Elephas maximus indicus: one gene and its partner. The protein of the gene in region 1 binds, or shares a complex with, the protein of each later gene. Links are inferred from orthologs where the notes say so. Each region holds a gene or a part of one and is shown on either strand. Other genes may lie near its edges.

Evidence for each region.
Region 2: MICOS13 (region 1) and APOOL share a complex: the UniProt entries of both Homo sapiens proteins name them as parts of the mitochondrial contact site and cristae organizing system (MICOS) complex. The link is inferred for Elephas maximus indicus from reciprocal best matches to the Homo sapiens genes MICOS13 and APOOL.

The regions. Positions count from the first base shown.
Region 1 is NC_064821.1:8,832,184-8,839,015, forward strand, and holds MICOS13 (MICOS complex subunit MIC13), read right to left. Parts: upstream 2,800-6,832; 5' UTR 2,440-2,799; coding exon 2,411-2,439; intron 1,757-2,410; coding exon 1,579-1,756; intron 1,403-1,578; coding exon 1,351-1,402; intron 759-1,350; coding exon 649-758; 3' UTR 514-648; downstream 1-513. Other genes in the region: HSD11B1L (hydroxysteroid 11-beta-dehydrogenase 1-like protein), read left to right, coding at 4,650-4,722, 4,811-4,941, 5,521-5,632, 5,959-6,093, 6,264-6,357, 6,511-6,676, 6,768-6,832. UniProt on the Homo sapiens protein: Component of the MICOS complex, a large protein complex of the mitochondrial inner membrane that plays crucial roles in the maintenance of crista junctions, inner membrane architecture, and formation of contact sites to the outer membrane.
Region 2 is NC_064846.1:80,232,160-80,239,998, reverse strand, and holds the start of APOOL (MICOS complex subunit MIC27), read left to right. Parts: upstream 1-4,825; 5' UTR 4,826-4,855; coding exon of another isoform or gene 4,856-4,870; intron 4,871-7,839. UniProt on the Homo sapiens protein: Component of the MICOS complex, a large protein complex of the mitochondrial inner membrane that plays crucial roles in the maintenance of crista junctions, inner membrane architecture, and formation of contact sites to the outer membrane.

The DNA.
Region 1 (6,832 bases):
GCATCAACACATTTCCCGTGGTGGCCCTGGGGCTGAGTGTTGGAGGTCCAGCAGGGACACCTGGACGTGAGGCAGGGCCTTAGAGAGGGCTTCCTGGGGACATGATACTGGGGGGTGCGGCCCCTGAATGGCAGTGCCCATTAGGCCTGCCCACTCCAGAAATGTCCAGGGCTGCCAGGGACAGGGTGGAAGCTGGGGCTGGGGGCCAGGGGAAGGAGGGCTGGCTGGAAGGTGGGCAGCGGTAGACTAGCCAGCTGAGTAGGAGGGAAGATTCGGCAGCCTCAGCTGGGGCCGAGGGTGAAGGAGGCATGGATTCCCGTGCCCCGGCTCCCGGACTACCCCACTGAAGCTCAGCCCCGCAAGAGCCAAGCTCCCTGGGCTCGCCCTCAGCACCTTCTCAGCCTTTCTAGCACCCCGAGCACTGTCTCCGGAGCGCCAGGGTCCGCTGTGTGCCTGGATTCCCCCAGGCCAGGGCCTAGACAGTGCCCGAGGAGCCCCAGGCCAGCACGCTGGTTGGGAACACTTCAGAAGTCCTTTATTGGGCCCATAAGGCCGTGAGCTGCCCTCAGAGGGGTCCCAGACTGGAGTCTTCAGGTCCATGGTGTCCCTGCCCCCATCCTGGCTAGAGCAGGGGCTGCATCCGAAGCACTACTTGGAATGCTCCTTGGCGCGCTCCTTGATGTAGTCCCAGCCCTTCCTGGAGTAATGGCAGGCCTTGGAGGGAGCCACTGACAGTGCTGACATCACCGTGACGATACCTGTGCAGAAGGGGGCCGGGGCGGCTGCCCGGTGAGGCTCCCCACTCAGCTACCCAGACCCTTCAAACAAGGGAGTTGGTCCAATCCCCAAGACACTATAGGTTCAAAAGGCTTTTAGAGGAACCACCTCCTGCACTGTTACTCCAAGTGGAGAAACTGAGGCAGAGGAGGGACTTGTTGTTAGTTGCCCTCTAGTTGATTGACTTGGGGCAACCCCACGTGTGCAAAGTAAAACTGCTCCATAGGTTTTTGAGGCTGTGACCTTTCAGAAGCAGATCACCAGCCCTTTCTTCTGATGCCCCTCTGGGTGGGTCCCACCTGCCGACCTGTTGGCTAGCTTAACCTTTGTGCTTCCCTGGAGCCGGAAGAGTCAGGGCCTTGGTTTGTGGGAGGTCACATGACAAGCTCAGACCCTAATCCTCCATCACCATTCTACCCAAGCAATGCACACACCCCCCACCCCCTGCCAGCCTCTTAGCCCCAGTCAAGTCTCTATCTCCTCTTCTATCTCCTCCATTAGACCTGTGGAGGCATACCTGGGGCTAGGCTAGGCAACCCATTACCCCTCCAAAAAGAGGCCCCAGGGGCCTACCTGAATTCCAGGAGTCGCGGAAGGAAAAGTTAAGCTTCGGAGCGGGTGGGAGCTGGGAAGAGAGAAAGAGATGGGGTTGGTGAGGGGAGAAGGCCCAACAGCCCCTCCAGATGCAGGGAGAAGACCATGTGCCTCAGAATCAGGTCTGCACAGGGAGGGACCCAGGGAGACTCCAGAGCTGACCCCCGCCCCCCGCCCCAGCCCTGGCCTTCCTCCAGCCCAGGGTACCTGGGGTATCTGCAGGCCCGTCTGCTTGCACACGTACTGGCTGAACTGGTACATGGCTGGGGGGACCACCTCTTCAGCCTTCCGAAGGGCCGCCTGGCTCTTGTCGCTGGGCCCCAGTAGGTCCTGGTCATACACCAAGTAGACTGCGCCTCCTGCCACACTGCCCTTGATAAGAAACCTGCGGGAACAGGAGGGAGCCACAGAAGCTCAGCGAGCACGGCAGGCCACCCTCAGGGGTCCATGAACACAGGGAGAAGTTGGACTCTCCTGGCGGGGGCGCGGATCACAGTCGAGGGTGTCACATGTGTAGCCAGGGGAAGCACAGACCCCCCCCCCCAATACTGACAGTGTGCAAAGCAAAAATGCTCAACTCTATTTAACTGGCAAACTAAGGCACGGAGACGGACAGTGGGCCACTCAACGTCCAGCGGAGAGCAGTGGACAGCGAAGACTTAAGACCCTGGCCTTCTGACCGCCAGCCTAGGGACGGGGCCTTCCAAGTGTTTCCGAGCGTTTCGTGCATGTCTCACGCTGCGCCCAAAATAAACGTGTGTGGAAGGATTCTCTGGGTATTCCCGTTTTGCAGAAGAGACAACTGAGGATCGGAGGTATCTCGGCTACAGTGGGCACTCGAGATCGCTGGGAGGTAGAAAGGAGGCGCTTATGCGGCTTCTGCAAGCCCGCCCCGCCTAGCCTCAGTTTCCCTATTTGGGCTATGAAGGCCTGACACTACAGGAAGCGAAGAGAAAGGCCTAGACCAAACCGCAGGGGGTGGTGCCCGCAGGAAGGGACTTTCTCTGGGGTCCAGGACCCGCCCGATGGTCTCACGCACCTCATTAGCGACCACACGCGGGCCACCATGGTCACTCCACTCCGCGCGCAAGGACACTCGGCTGGCCCGCCACTTCCGGCGGCGGCGCCGCAGAAGCCTCTGGGAAGGGTAGTCTCTCTTGCCACCCGCAAAGGCCTCCGGGAGTCAGAGGCGGAGACTCCCTGGCTCCAAGACGCCAGAGAAGGGCTGTTGTCCCGCCGCGAAGGGCTCGTGGGAAGTGTAGTCTTCACTCTCCGGGATGCCGCAAAGCTGCTGGGAAATGTAGTCGGCAGAGATCTGCAGAGCCGCCGAAAGTCTCGCCTGGCCGCGAAGTCTCTTGGGAAATGTAGTCCAGTCCGGCTCCGCCCTGGCAGCGCAAGGGGAGGGAGGTATCGGACGTCTGGAGAGGCCTAAGGGTAATAACGAAGGAGATGCTGGGGCTCGTGAGACTCACCCGCGCCCGCGCGGGGTACTGAGGGCCCAAGCCTAGGGGAGAGCGCCTAGAAGGAGGTTGTCACGGCAACGCGGTGGCTGAATAGTTCGACGGAGGCGGGCCCGAAGTCACGTGATACACATTAGGCGTGGAACCTCAGTCTAGTGGGCGGGGCCGGGGCCGCAGCCGGGGGTGGGGAAGCAGGGCGGGAGGCCGTTGCCCCGGCAACGCCTGGCGCGGAGTCCCCACGGCCTGGTCTCTCCGGGATGGGTTAGGAGTCACGTGACTACGGCCCTGCGGGACTGGTAGCGGTCGGGTGCTCGAGCGAACGCGGCCGGGAAAGGGAGGCTGGAGGGAGGGTCGTGTTTTGGCTCCCAGGCTGGGACCCCAGCCGGGCAGGACGGCGGGGGCAACTGAGGCCTGAGTGGGTGAGTGCGCAGGTGGAGGTGTGCAGTGGACCGCACGCCCCCTTTGCCCAGAGAGTAACATTAGACAGGCGAGGTTAAGGACCCTGTCGGTTGTGCAAGAATCCGGTGCCCCCATTCCTTAAGGCTGCTTCATCCATCCATCCATCCCTCCCTCCATCGCTCCCACCTCCCCACCTCCCCCATGGGCTTCTGTGGTGAGGACGGGGGGTGGAGGGTGTTTGATTGGCTTCATGGACTTTCCTGGAAGAAGGGAGAGGTGGGAGTGCATTCACTGCTAAGGGGGTACCTGGCGAACTGGAATAGGGTGAGGGGTTCACTTTTCTGAGAACCGAAAGATTCATATATGGGAGTAGTGGGCAGAATGTTGGAGAGGTGGGCAGGGGCCAGGCCTGCTGGGCTTCTTTGGCTGAGGTGAGGAGCCTGGCCTCGTCCAAGGGCAATGGGGAGCCCTGGGAGGGTTTGGAGCAGAAAGACCGCAGGTAGATTTCTCTTGACAGTGAACGTGTACCAAATTATGAAGATAATTTCAGGCGATGACAGAATGTTGAGGAGGAGCTCAAAAGGCTAAAGTTAAAGGAAACAGAGACCCGACAAAGGGCCTGGAAACCCTGGTGGTGTAGTGGTTAAGTGCTACAGCTGCTAACCAAGAGGTTGGCAGTTCTAATCCACCAGGGTGTTCCTTGGGAACTCTGTGGGGCAGTTCTACTCTATCCTGTAGGGTTGCTATGAGTTGAAATCGATTCAATGGCAGTGGGTTTGGTTTTCGTTTTTTTAGAAAGGGAAAACCCATTGCCATCGAGTCGATTCCGACTCATAGCAACACTATATATATATATTTTTATAGAACAGAGTAGAACTGCCCCCCATAGGGTTTCCAAGGAGAAGCTGGTGGATTCTAACAGTCGAGCTTTTGGTTAGCAAAGGAGCTCTTAACCACTGTGCCACCAGGGCGCCATTTAGAAAAGAAAGCCCTTTTGGAAATAATTGTAGATTACAGAACATCCATTCACATGTGCTTGGGGAAAGCATCGCAGGCAGAGAGAACAGCCAGTGCAAAAGTCCTGGGGCAGCATGTTGGTGTGGTTGAACAGAATGAGCAAGGGGGCAGGGAGGAGCTGGCCCACGCAGGACCTCTTTGGCCATTGAGGAGTGGGGTTTTGTCCTAAATCAAAGGGGAGAACTTTCAGCAGGGTTAGGACAAGATGTGATCGGGCTCGTGGGTGAAGGGAGAAGGCTCCGAGCCAGGAGAAGGTTGGTGCAATAGTTCAGGTGAGCCCAGTGGTGGCTGTGGAGATGTAAAGGAGGGGACAGGCCCAAGGCCATCACCAAATGCTGATTCAACAAAGGTGCAGCTGGAGAAACGGTTGTGGCTGTGGCCACTGCAGGCCCAGGGAGGGCCATGAAGGTGCTGCTCTTCACAGGGCTCGGGGCCCTGTTCTTCGCCTATTATTGGGATGACAACTTTGACCCAGGTGAGTGACCAGGGCTAGGGGAGGGGAGAAGGTATTGGGCCTGCTGTCCTGTCCACCTTGAAGGCTGAGCACCCCTGCCCACTGCCAGACAGCCTCCAGGGAGCCCGTGTGCTCCTGACAGGGGCCAGTGCCGGCGTCGGTGAGGAGCTGGCTTATCACTACGCCCGCCTGGGTGCCCGCCTGGTGCTCACCGGCCACACGGAGGTCCTTGTGCAGAAGGTGAGCTGCCTCGTTGGTCAGTGTGGGGTGGGGTGCAAAAGGGAGCCTGGGGTTGAATTCCTGCACCCATCCAGGCTTACTGTGTGACCTTGGGCAAGTTGCTTAACCTCTCTGAGCCTGTTTCCTCATTTGCAAATTGGAGACAATAAAAGTATCTTCTCGTGGGTTGTGGTGATGTGTCGATTCAATACGGCAGTGAGTGTAAAGCAATGAATTGATAAAGTCCAACAGCCACTGAAAGCCCGTGTTCTCTAGAGAAGGGTGGATGCAACAGCCCATTGTCCAAAGGGAGCTTGTGGCTCTTGGGAACAAACCTTCCAAATTTTCCGGAGAAGCCAGAACTCTGGAGATGGATGTGAAATCTCCCGAGTTTGTAATGTTGGTGATTGGTTAAACGAAACGTCAGTAGGTCATTCTGGCCCAGGGGGCCGCCAGTTTACAGCCTCAGTGCTAAAGCTTTGGGCGTAATGTTGAGTGGCACCCGAGGCTCACAGTAGGTGAGGGGGTTTCAGTCTGAGGACCCAAGAGGGGGCCAGCTGAGGTGGAGGGGCCCACGGGCAGCTCTGCCCTCCCCCCCAGGTGGTAGGGAACTGCCGGAAGCTGGGCGCCCCCAAGGTCTTCTACATCGCGGCGGACATGGCCTCCGCTGAGGCGCCGGAGCGCGTGGTGCGGTTTGCGCTGGAGATGCTGGGTGAGGGGCGGGGCCTAGGCCGAGGGGCGGGGCCTAGGCCGAGGGGCGGGACGCTAACTGGGTGAGGGTGTGGCAGCGACGGGTGTCCTGGGGGCGGGCACTTAACGGGGTCGGGCGTGGCTAAGGGCGGACCCGCGCTGGATCCAGGGATTGGGACACCGGACAGGGACGCCTCGGACGTGGGACTAACCTGTATGAGATCCAGGGGGTAGCGTCCGGCGCGGGGCCTCCCTAAACCCAGGGGGTGTTACTGGGGCGGAGCTCACTGTATTCAGGGGGCGGGGCCTCGGGGGCTGGCCCCGGGCTGACCGGCCTCTCCGGGCCAGGCGGGCTGGACTACCTTGTGCTGAACCACATCGGCGCTACCCCGGCCGGCACGCGGGCCGGCACCCCGCAGGGGACGCGCTGGCTCATACAGGTGCTCCGTCCCCGTCGCGGCCCTGGTCTGCTCCACGGCGCCGGTCCGTCCTCCCGTCCGGGACCACGCCCCTCCCAAACCTCTGGCCCCGCCCGTGCCTGCCCCGCCCCTAGGCCCCGCCCCTGCCTGCCCCGGTCCCTGCCCCTTTGGGCCTTGGCCCCGCCCCGCCCCAGGCTTCGCCCTGGCCTCGTCACCCCTGGTCACCGCCTCTAGGTGAATTTTCTGAGCTATGTACAGCTGACTTCCTTGGCGCTGCCGAGCCTGACGGACAGCAAGGGCTCCCTGGTGGTGGTGTTCTCGCTGCTCGGTGCGTACACATGGCCTCGGTTCTTCGGGAGGGGTCTTGGGAGGGGGTGACCGCTCATCCTGGGGGGCTGCAGGCAGGAAGGCTTCCGGGAGGATGAGGCGCACCTTGTAGCCGGTCAACCCCGCCCATGCCACGCCCATGCCACGCCCCTAGGCCGCGTGCCCGCCTCCTTCTCCGTCCCCTACTCAGCAGCCAAGTTCGCGCTGGAGAGTTTCTTCGGCTCCTTGCGGCGGGAACTGGACGTGCAGGACGTGAATGTGGCAGTCACCATGTGCATCCTGGGGCTCCGGGATCGCGCCTCGGCCGCCGAGGGAGTCAGGTGAGGTCGGGCAGGGGGCCGGGCGCGGCCGGGGGCTGTCGGGGCCGTGCAGCCTCCGCCGCAGCCCCCCACCGCGCCCTCCCGTCCCCAGGGGCGTCACGAGGGCCAGGGCGGCTCCGGAGCCCAAGGCGGCCTTGGCCGTGGTCCGCGGCGGCG
Region 2 (7,839 bases), on another chromosome or scaffold:
CATGGAGGTATTACACTGACCCTGGGCGTGTGGCACCACTGAGTAGTTTCTATTAATCCAGCAGTGACCTGAGTTTGGCTACAAGCTTCCTTCCGGAAAAGTGGGCATTGGAGGCTCTCCGTGGTTGCCAACATATTAACCTGTCTCTCTATGAGTACTTCTCTACTGCCTACTAAAACTCGAGCTCAAGTCTAAGACATAGCTCCAGGTACGCGAAAAGATGAGGCTGGAGAGATAAACAGTGGCCAGATAAATAAGAACCTGATGAGCCATGTGTCTTAGGTTAGGTTCTCCAGAAAAGCAAAACCAGTAAAGCGTATAAATACATATAGAGATTTATATCAAGGAAAAGGCTCACACGATTGTAGAGGCTGGAATGTCCCAAGTCCATGGGTTAGGATACGGGCTTCTCCTGATTCTCATAGCCACAGGCGTTGGTGAACCCAAGATCCACAGGTCAGACAGCAGGGCTCTTGCTCACAGTACGAAGATCGATGAATCCCAAGATCAGCAGGCAAGATGGCAGGTAAGTTACAAGCTCAAGTCTTGAAAACCAGAGGTCAGACAAACAGGAGACGGCTGCAGGATCCAGAGTGAGCAAAAGCCCGTGAGCCTTGCCAAAAAGTCCACTTATATTCGATGCAGGCCACATGCCCAAGGAAACTCCCTTTCAACTAACTGGCTTCTCACAGCAGATCCCATCATGGAGGTGATCACACTATATCAAATCTTATCATGGAAGTGGTCACAACATCATATGACTGCCAAACTACATCACAAATGCCAAACCACTGAGAATTACAGCCCAGCCAAGTTGACACACAACCTTAACCATCACGCCATGTTAAAAATTTGGATTAATAACTATGTGACCTTGGACAAATTAGCCAAGGAGATCTAGGCAGAAGCAGCAGCATAGTACAAAAGCCCAGAAAGGTGAAAGAAAGTGGAGCATGTTCCTGGTACTAGAAAGGCTTCAGTGCGGCTGGAGTATTGAGTGTGAGGACAAAAGTAGCCTGAAGGTGAAAAAGTAGACCAGATCATACATGGCCTTAGATAAGCAGGATGACCATACATCCCTGTTTTCCAGAACAGGCCCAGTTTTTATACGTTGCTCCAGGGTAATTACATATAGTGTCCCCATAATGTTCCCTTAAAAGTGTTGCAGTTTGGATGATTCAATTATTGGTCTTGACTCAATACTCCCATTTCATTCTCTACAGTGAAAATAAAGTGATCATCTGATAGCATCTACCCATTTTCCTGAAACACTTCAATGGTCCTCCATTGTTTTTAAGATGAAGTCTAAGCTCCTTAACGTAAATACATATATAACAAATGAATACATGAATGAATTAATATACGTAGTCTGAGGTTTAGATATAGGTCTAGGCAGGAGATACAGTTTGGGGTCATCTCCATATAGTTAGTAACTGAAGTCATAGGAAGCAAGAAATTATCCAGAGTGTATAAAGTGAAAAGAATAAAGGTCTGTGGAAGAAACTCCAATGTCTATTCTCCCCTTCTATAATAATAATAGATCCCATAATTTTTAGCTGGACGCATCACTGCTCAGAATATAGACTTAATTTTCTAGCCTCCCTTACTATTAAGTGTGGCCATGTGACAAGGTTCTAGCCAAAGGAATATAAGCAGAAGCAGTGTATATTACACTTTTGAGAAGTGTCGTTAATGTGGAGGGGTGTATCTCTCTTGTCCCCCCTTTCACTTTCCTGTTATTGGAATACAGATGTAACAGCTGGAACTAGTAAAGCAATTTTGAACCAGTAGGTGGAAGCGCATGTTGAAGATGTTAAAACAATGAGATAGAAGAGGCCTGGATTTCTGAAAATCACAGAGCCACCATATCAGCCCTGAACTGCCTACATTTATAAGAAAAGGCAACAGACAGTAGGTTATTACTGATATATATGATTTTCTGTCACTTATAGCTAAACCTAATCAAGACTTAGTGAATGGAAAGAGAGGAGGAGCCCCCAAAGGAGAATGAGACAACAGTCAGTTTGTGTTCATTAAAAAAAAGGTTTAAAATAGCCACCATAAAGAAGAGGTGAAACAGCTACCTAATGTTAGTTAGATTGGTCCAGAATGGAGGTTTTTTTCAGAGGATAAAACAAAATCGTTCCAATAAGGTCAGGTAGTTGAGTTTATTGCAAACAAAGTAGTGGAAGAGATGTACCATGAGGTTTAGATTAGCTGGAAAAGAAAATGTGACTGGAAGGGCCTAACAGTGAAAAAGGAGAGATGTGGTGGTGGTTTTAAAACATGCCTATAAATTATTTTGTATATCTTCCTTCAAAAGTAGAGCTTACTTCCTCTCCCCTTGAGTATGGGCTGTACTTAATGACTCATTTCCAATGAATAGAATGTGATGTATAACACCCAAGATTAGGATATAAAAGGTAATATAGCTTCTACCTTGTTCTTTCCCTTGGGTCACTCATTCTGGGGCAAGCTAGCTGTCATGTCATGAGGACATACTTGTTTTTTACACTGCTAAATTTTGGGGATAAATTGTTATATAGCCATAGATACCTAATACAGACATAAAGGACCTAAAGATCTTGATGAGATTAAAAAAAAAGAGTGTGGATCAAAATCAAAGAGCTTGAAGAATAATAGTTGAGGTCAGAGACGAGAGTACCTGAATTTAAAATCTCAGAGGTGGAGTAGTTCTTAATGATAACAGAGTCAAGGGTATGGCCATTGTTATGGATAACTGAACTGGAATGAGTGTAAAAGTCACTGGAGATGAGGGTATCATGGGTCTACAAGGATACTGAAGTTGCCAAGGATCACCAAACATCATCAGACAAGAGCCCATACAGAATCCTAGAATGTCAGAACTGGAAATGACATATAGTAAGTCATCCAGTCCATCTAGTTTTTCTAAGTGTGGCCCAAGGACTACCTGCATTAGAATCACCTGAGGTACACATCAGACATTCCCCTACCTTAGGCCAAATGAATACTAACATCCAGGGGGTAGTACACAGGAATCTGCATTCTATAAAATTGTCCAGGTGATTCTTACACACACTAAATTTGAGCACCTTTGGTCTAGTTCAACCCTTTAGTTTATAAGACTCCTCCGTTAGAGGGGTCCCTGGATGGCAAAAACTGTTAAGCACTCAGCTACTAGCTAAAAGATTGGTGGTTTGAACCCACCCAGAGGCACTTCAGAAGACAGGCCTGGCTTTCGAAAGGTCCCAGCCTTGAAAACCCTATGAAGCAGTTCTACTCTGCACACATGGGGTAGTTGTAAGTCAGAATCAACTCGACAGCAACTAACAACAACCTCTTTTAGAGGCCAAGATCTTATTTTGATTCTAATACTTTCAATTACACAAAGCTGCCTTTTGTGCCCAAAACAATCTGCAACTTTGGTAAATCCATAATAATAATCAATATTTAAAAATAAATTAAAAAAAAGAAAATCCATATTCTTTATATACGATCTGATTCCCGTGTGACTTCTCTTCTGCTTTCTACCTCACTCACCAAGCTCCAGTAAATTTGTTCCCACCTCAGGGTCTTTGCATTTGTTGTTTCTTCTGACTGGAACACTCAGATATTCATAAGTGGACACTCATGTTGCCAAGTCTCAACTCAAATGCCATCTCCTTCAAGTTTTCTTTCCTTCCAATCTAAAGTAACTCCAGCCCCAACCCTGTCACCCTCTATAGTATTTATCACTATCTGCAATGATCTTGTTTATTCATTTGTCTTTTTTTTTTTTTTGGTCAAAAATGTACACTTAAGGTCCACCAGGTCAGGGCTTGTGTGGGTATTGTTCATTACTTCATGCCCAGCAGCGGGGCACCAAAGGCAGGGGTGGAGTGGTCTACTCTGAGTGCAGGCAATAAGGAAGACGGATTATCTGTATTTAGAAATAATACATAATACAATGAAATAAAGTTGTTCTGATTTTTATTATCATCGCAGAGCTGGTGATCTAAGCAATGTCTGTGATAAAATACTTCTCCCTACAAAACTTTTTTTTTTTTTTGCCTATGTTCTAAATAATTTTTGTGGTTAATGTCGAGTGTCATATAACGTATATGAAACCTTCAAATTAGCACACTGTTATAACATCATTTTACAGCCATTGTATTCATTAAAGTAAGTTTGGAGAACTCCCAGTTATACAGTAAGTCCTCAACGCATTCAGACTGAGCTACATGCATTCCTTCAGAGAATAAGTTCACAAGATTCGGAATTTTTGGAACTCGCTTCTAGTGCAGTTTGTGTCTCCAGCCCCTGTGGTATGTATCCCTGCATTTAAACAGGGACCAAAAAGAAAAATCAAACCCACTGCCCTCCAGTCGACCCCCACCCCTACTTGCCCCGTAAGGTTTCCAAGGCTGTAAATCTTTAAGGAGGCCGACTGCCAAATCTCCTCCCAGGACCAGACATCTCGGTTAGTAGTCGAGCGCTTTAACCACTGCAACACCGGGGTTATCAGGGTCAAAACTCAAACCCGTTGCCGTGGTGTACATTCCGACTCATGGTGACCCTATAGGACACAGTAGAACTGCCCAATAGAGTTTCCAAGGAGCGCCTGGTGGATTGGAACTGCCGAGCTTTTGGTTAGCCATAGCACTTAACTACTAGCCACCAGGGTTTCCTTACCAGGGACAGGGAGCGTCGGGTACAAGGATGAAACTGTTTCTCCGGCCCGCAGCCAACGAATAGCAGCAGCAGCTTCCTGAAACGGCTCCAGGAGGGCGGAGAAAGGGCGGGACGGCGCGGGGCTGCCCTGAAGAGAGCCAAGTCGAAGTGTTTTGTCCCTCTTCGCTCTCCGTATGAAAAGTTGGGCGGAGAGGTCACAGGCATGGCGGCCGTTAGGGTAAGTGAAAAGACACCTTGCTTAGCTTACTTGGGTACAGATAGCCTTTCTAGTAAGTGTAAAAGTGATCCTCTTGACTTCAGAAAGAGGCCTGACAGCAAGGGGCGGGGTGGGAGTAGAGTCATAGGAAGATAATCAAGGTCAGGGAGTCATTAACGTTTGAAGCTTCAAACTCTTAGCCTAAAAACACCTGCCTTTCCATTTAGATTTTCCTCGGCTTGGGACACCGCTTTCCTCAATTTCCTGCGGCTGACTGCCTTGCCGAGGCACAGTAAAAACTGCTGAGCTGCGAGCACCAGCAGAGGTTTGGGTCTCGAACTGGAAGAGAAATTCTGGGCGTTTGTCTCGGTGCACGGGGCGGGGCCTCTTAACCCTATCCAAAGACTTTGTTCCGACATGTTTGAGGGCGAAATAGGCTAGAATAGAGAGGTCCCAGAGTCTCTCTGCGGTACGCGGGTTTATACATATTGTTACTACTCCCTGGGTTCAAAAATTTTATTTTGCGTTCTGTAATGAAAAAAAGGTGCTTTTACTTAGGAAGGAGCCCTGGTGGTACAGTGGTTAAGAGCTCGGCTGCTAACCAAAATGTCGGCAGTTCAAATCCACGAGTCGCTCCTTGGGAAACCCTATGGGGCACTGCTTTGTTCTGTAGGGTCGCTATGAGTCGGAACCCGCTCGACGGCAACGGGTTTTTACTTAGGAATCTGTGTACGGGAAGTGACTCAGCTGGCTGTTTCACTTCACGAAGTAAGTTCAGTAACAGCAGTTTACAAATATTTAAGTAGCGGGTTTTAACTGAAAAATGACCTGCCAGACTTGCTGGAGATACAAATATGAATTCATTTCAGCCGAAGTTTACTTGAACTTCGCTCAGTATTCATCTTGATTCGCCTTTCTCACTTTGTTTCTGAAATTCAGGTTCTCATAATTTATCTGAACTATTGCAGCAACCGCCTAACTGGACTCATTGCCTGACTCTCCTGGAATCCATTCTCCTGTGCTGCCAGGGTAGCTTTACTAAAACGCAAATCTGATTATGTCCCTCACCTACTTAAAACCCTTTATTGGCGCTCCATCATCTGCCTTCTGGAAACAGGTCAAACTCCTGTACCTAGAACACCCTACCCTGCTTTAGTTCTCTAGCTTCGTTGCCTGCCATTCAGGAACCCTCCTCCCATCAATACTGAACTACTTGTTTCACTCTTCCACACCTTTTTACCTGCTCTTTGGCCCCTAAATGCCCTTCCCCATCCTTATCTAGTAAGTTCCTACTCACGGTTCATTCATTGATGTAACAGATATTTATGTAGGGCCTCCCCATATGCTAAGTACAGAGTGCCTTTTTCAACAGTGTATCCTCAACCTCCCCAGTCTAAATAACTCTTCTTTGTGCTCTCAGAGCACTTTAGGCATACTCTTACCTTAACGTTTATCACATTGTGAATAATAAACTATTTACTTGTCTCTTCTACTCTCCTGAACTATAAGCTTGAGCTCTATAATTATAACATATTAATCTTTGTATCCTTGGTACCTAAGGAGCCCTGGTGGTTCAGTGGTTAAAGCGCCAGGCTGGTAACTGAAAGGTCAGCGGTTTGAACCTGCCGTCTGCTCCACGGGAGAAAGATGTGGCAGTCTGCTCCCATAAAGATAATGTACAGCCTTGGAAACCCTATGAGGCAGTTCTACTCTGTCTTATAGGGTTGCTATTAGTTGGAATTTTTTTTTTAATCCTTGATATACCTAGCACAGGTCTGACTTATACTAGGTGATTAATATATTCTACATGAGTAAATAAGTGCCAGGCAATGAGAATAAAAGAGATTAAATTAAGCAGTGGAGATGCAAAAATAACACAAAGGACTAACTCACAGTAAGGGAAGTGCCTTGCCTCAAGAGGTGTAGGAAGTGCTCTGAGGACTCAAAAGAGAAAGAGCTCATACTTGGTTGAAAGGGGATTAAGAAAGGCTTCATGGAGCAGTTACAGAGACAGAAAAGGAATGGTCATTGGTAAAAATCAAACCAGAACAGTGTGTTGTCACGGAAGCAAAGAAAAGGAGAGAATTGAACAGGTCATCTAATTTGACAATTAAGAAGTTGCTGGCAACTGCCATTTATTAAGTGCTTACTACAGGCTAAGCACCGTGCTAAAATACATATGTTATTTCACTTAATTCTCAGGACAACTTTATGTGGTAGATATTATGATCACTGTTTTACAGAAAAAAACTAAGGTTTATAGAAGACAAATTGCCCCAAATCATAAAGCTGGTAAGAGCTGAAGTGAGATAAGATGTTTGAGTGGTAGAAAGAGAACCTAGATTGTAAGGGGTTAAGGAAAGGATATGGAGTGGTGAACTAGCATTTGTTTAGCACCTACTTTAGTCAGATACTTTACATATATTATTTCAGTTTAATCTTCTTGATGACTCTAAGAAATGGGTAGTATCCCCCCTTTTACACATGAAAAAACCGAGGCTTGTATTAAGTGCTTGTCCCAGGTCATAAAAACTGCTAAGTGGGAGAGCCAGGTTTAAACACAGGTATATTTGGCTTTGAAGTCCATGATGTTCTCACTATTCATTGCTGCTTCTGGTAAGGTTGGTGTATACTATTTTGAGAAGTTTGATGGTGAAAGGAAGGAATGAAATCTTGGGATGAGGTAGGAAATTCTTGAAAAGGTATATATTACTTTAAAGAAAAATCAGGAGAGTTGAGCAAGTTTTGAGACAACGGGAAAGGTGCCTGGAACTAGTATAGAGGGAAAGATAATAATGGTAATCACAGCTGTTATGCTGTTGGACACACTAAATGTGTGCTAGGCATTTTGCTTAGCACTTTATGTGCATTTTCTCATTTATGTGTCATAGTGACCCTATGAGTAGGTGTTATTATTAACATCTTTTTACAGGTAAGGAAACTGAAGCGTTGAAAAGTTGAGTAGCTTGCCCACATCATACAGTTGTAAG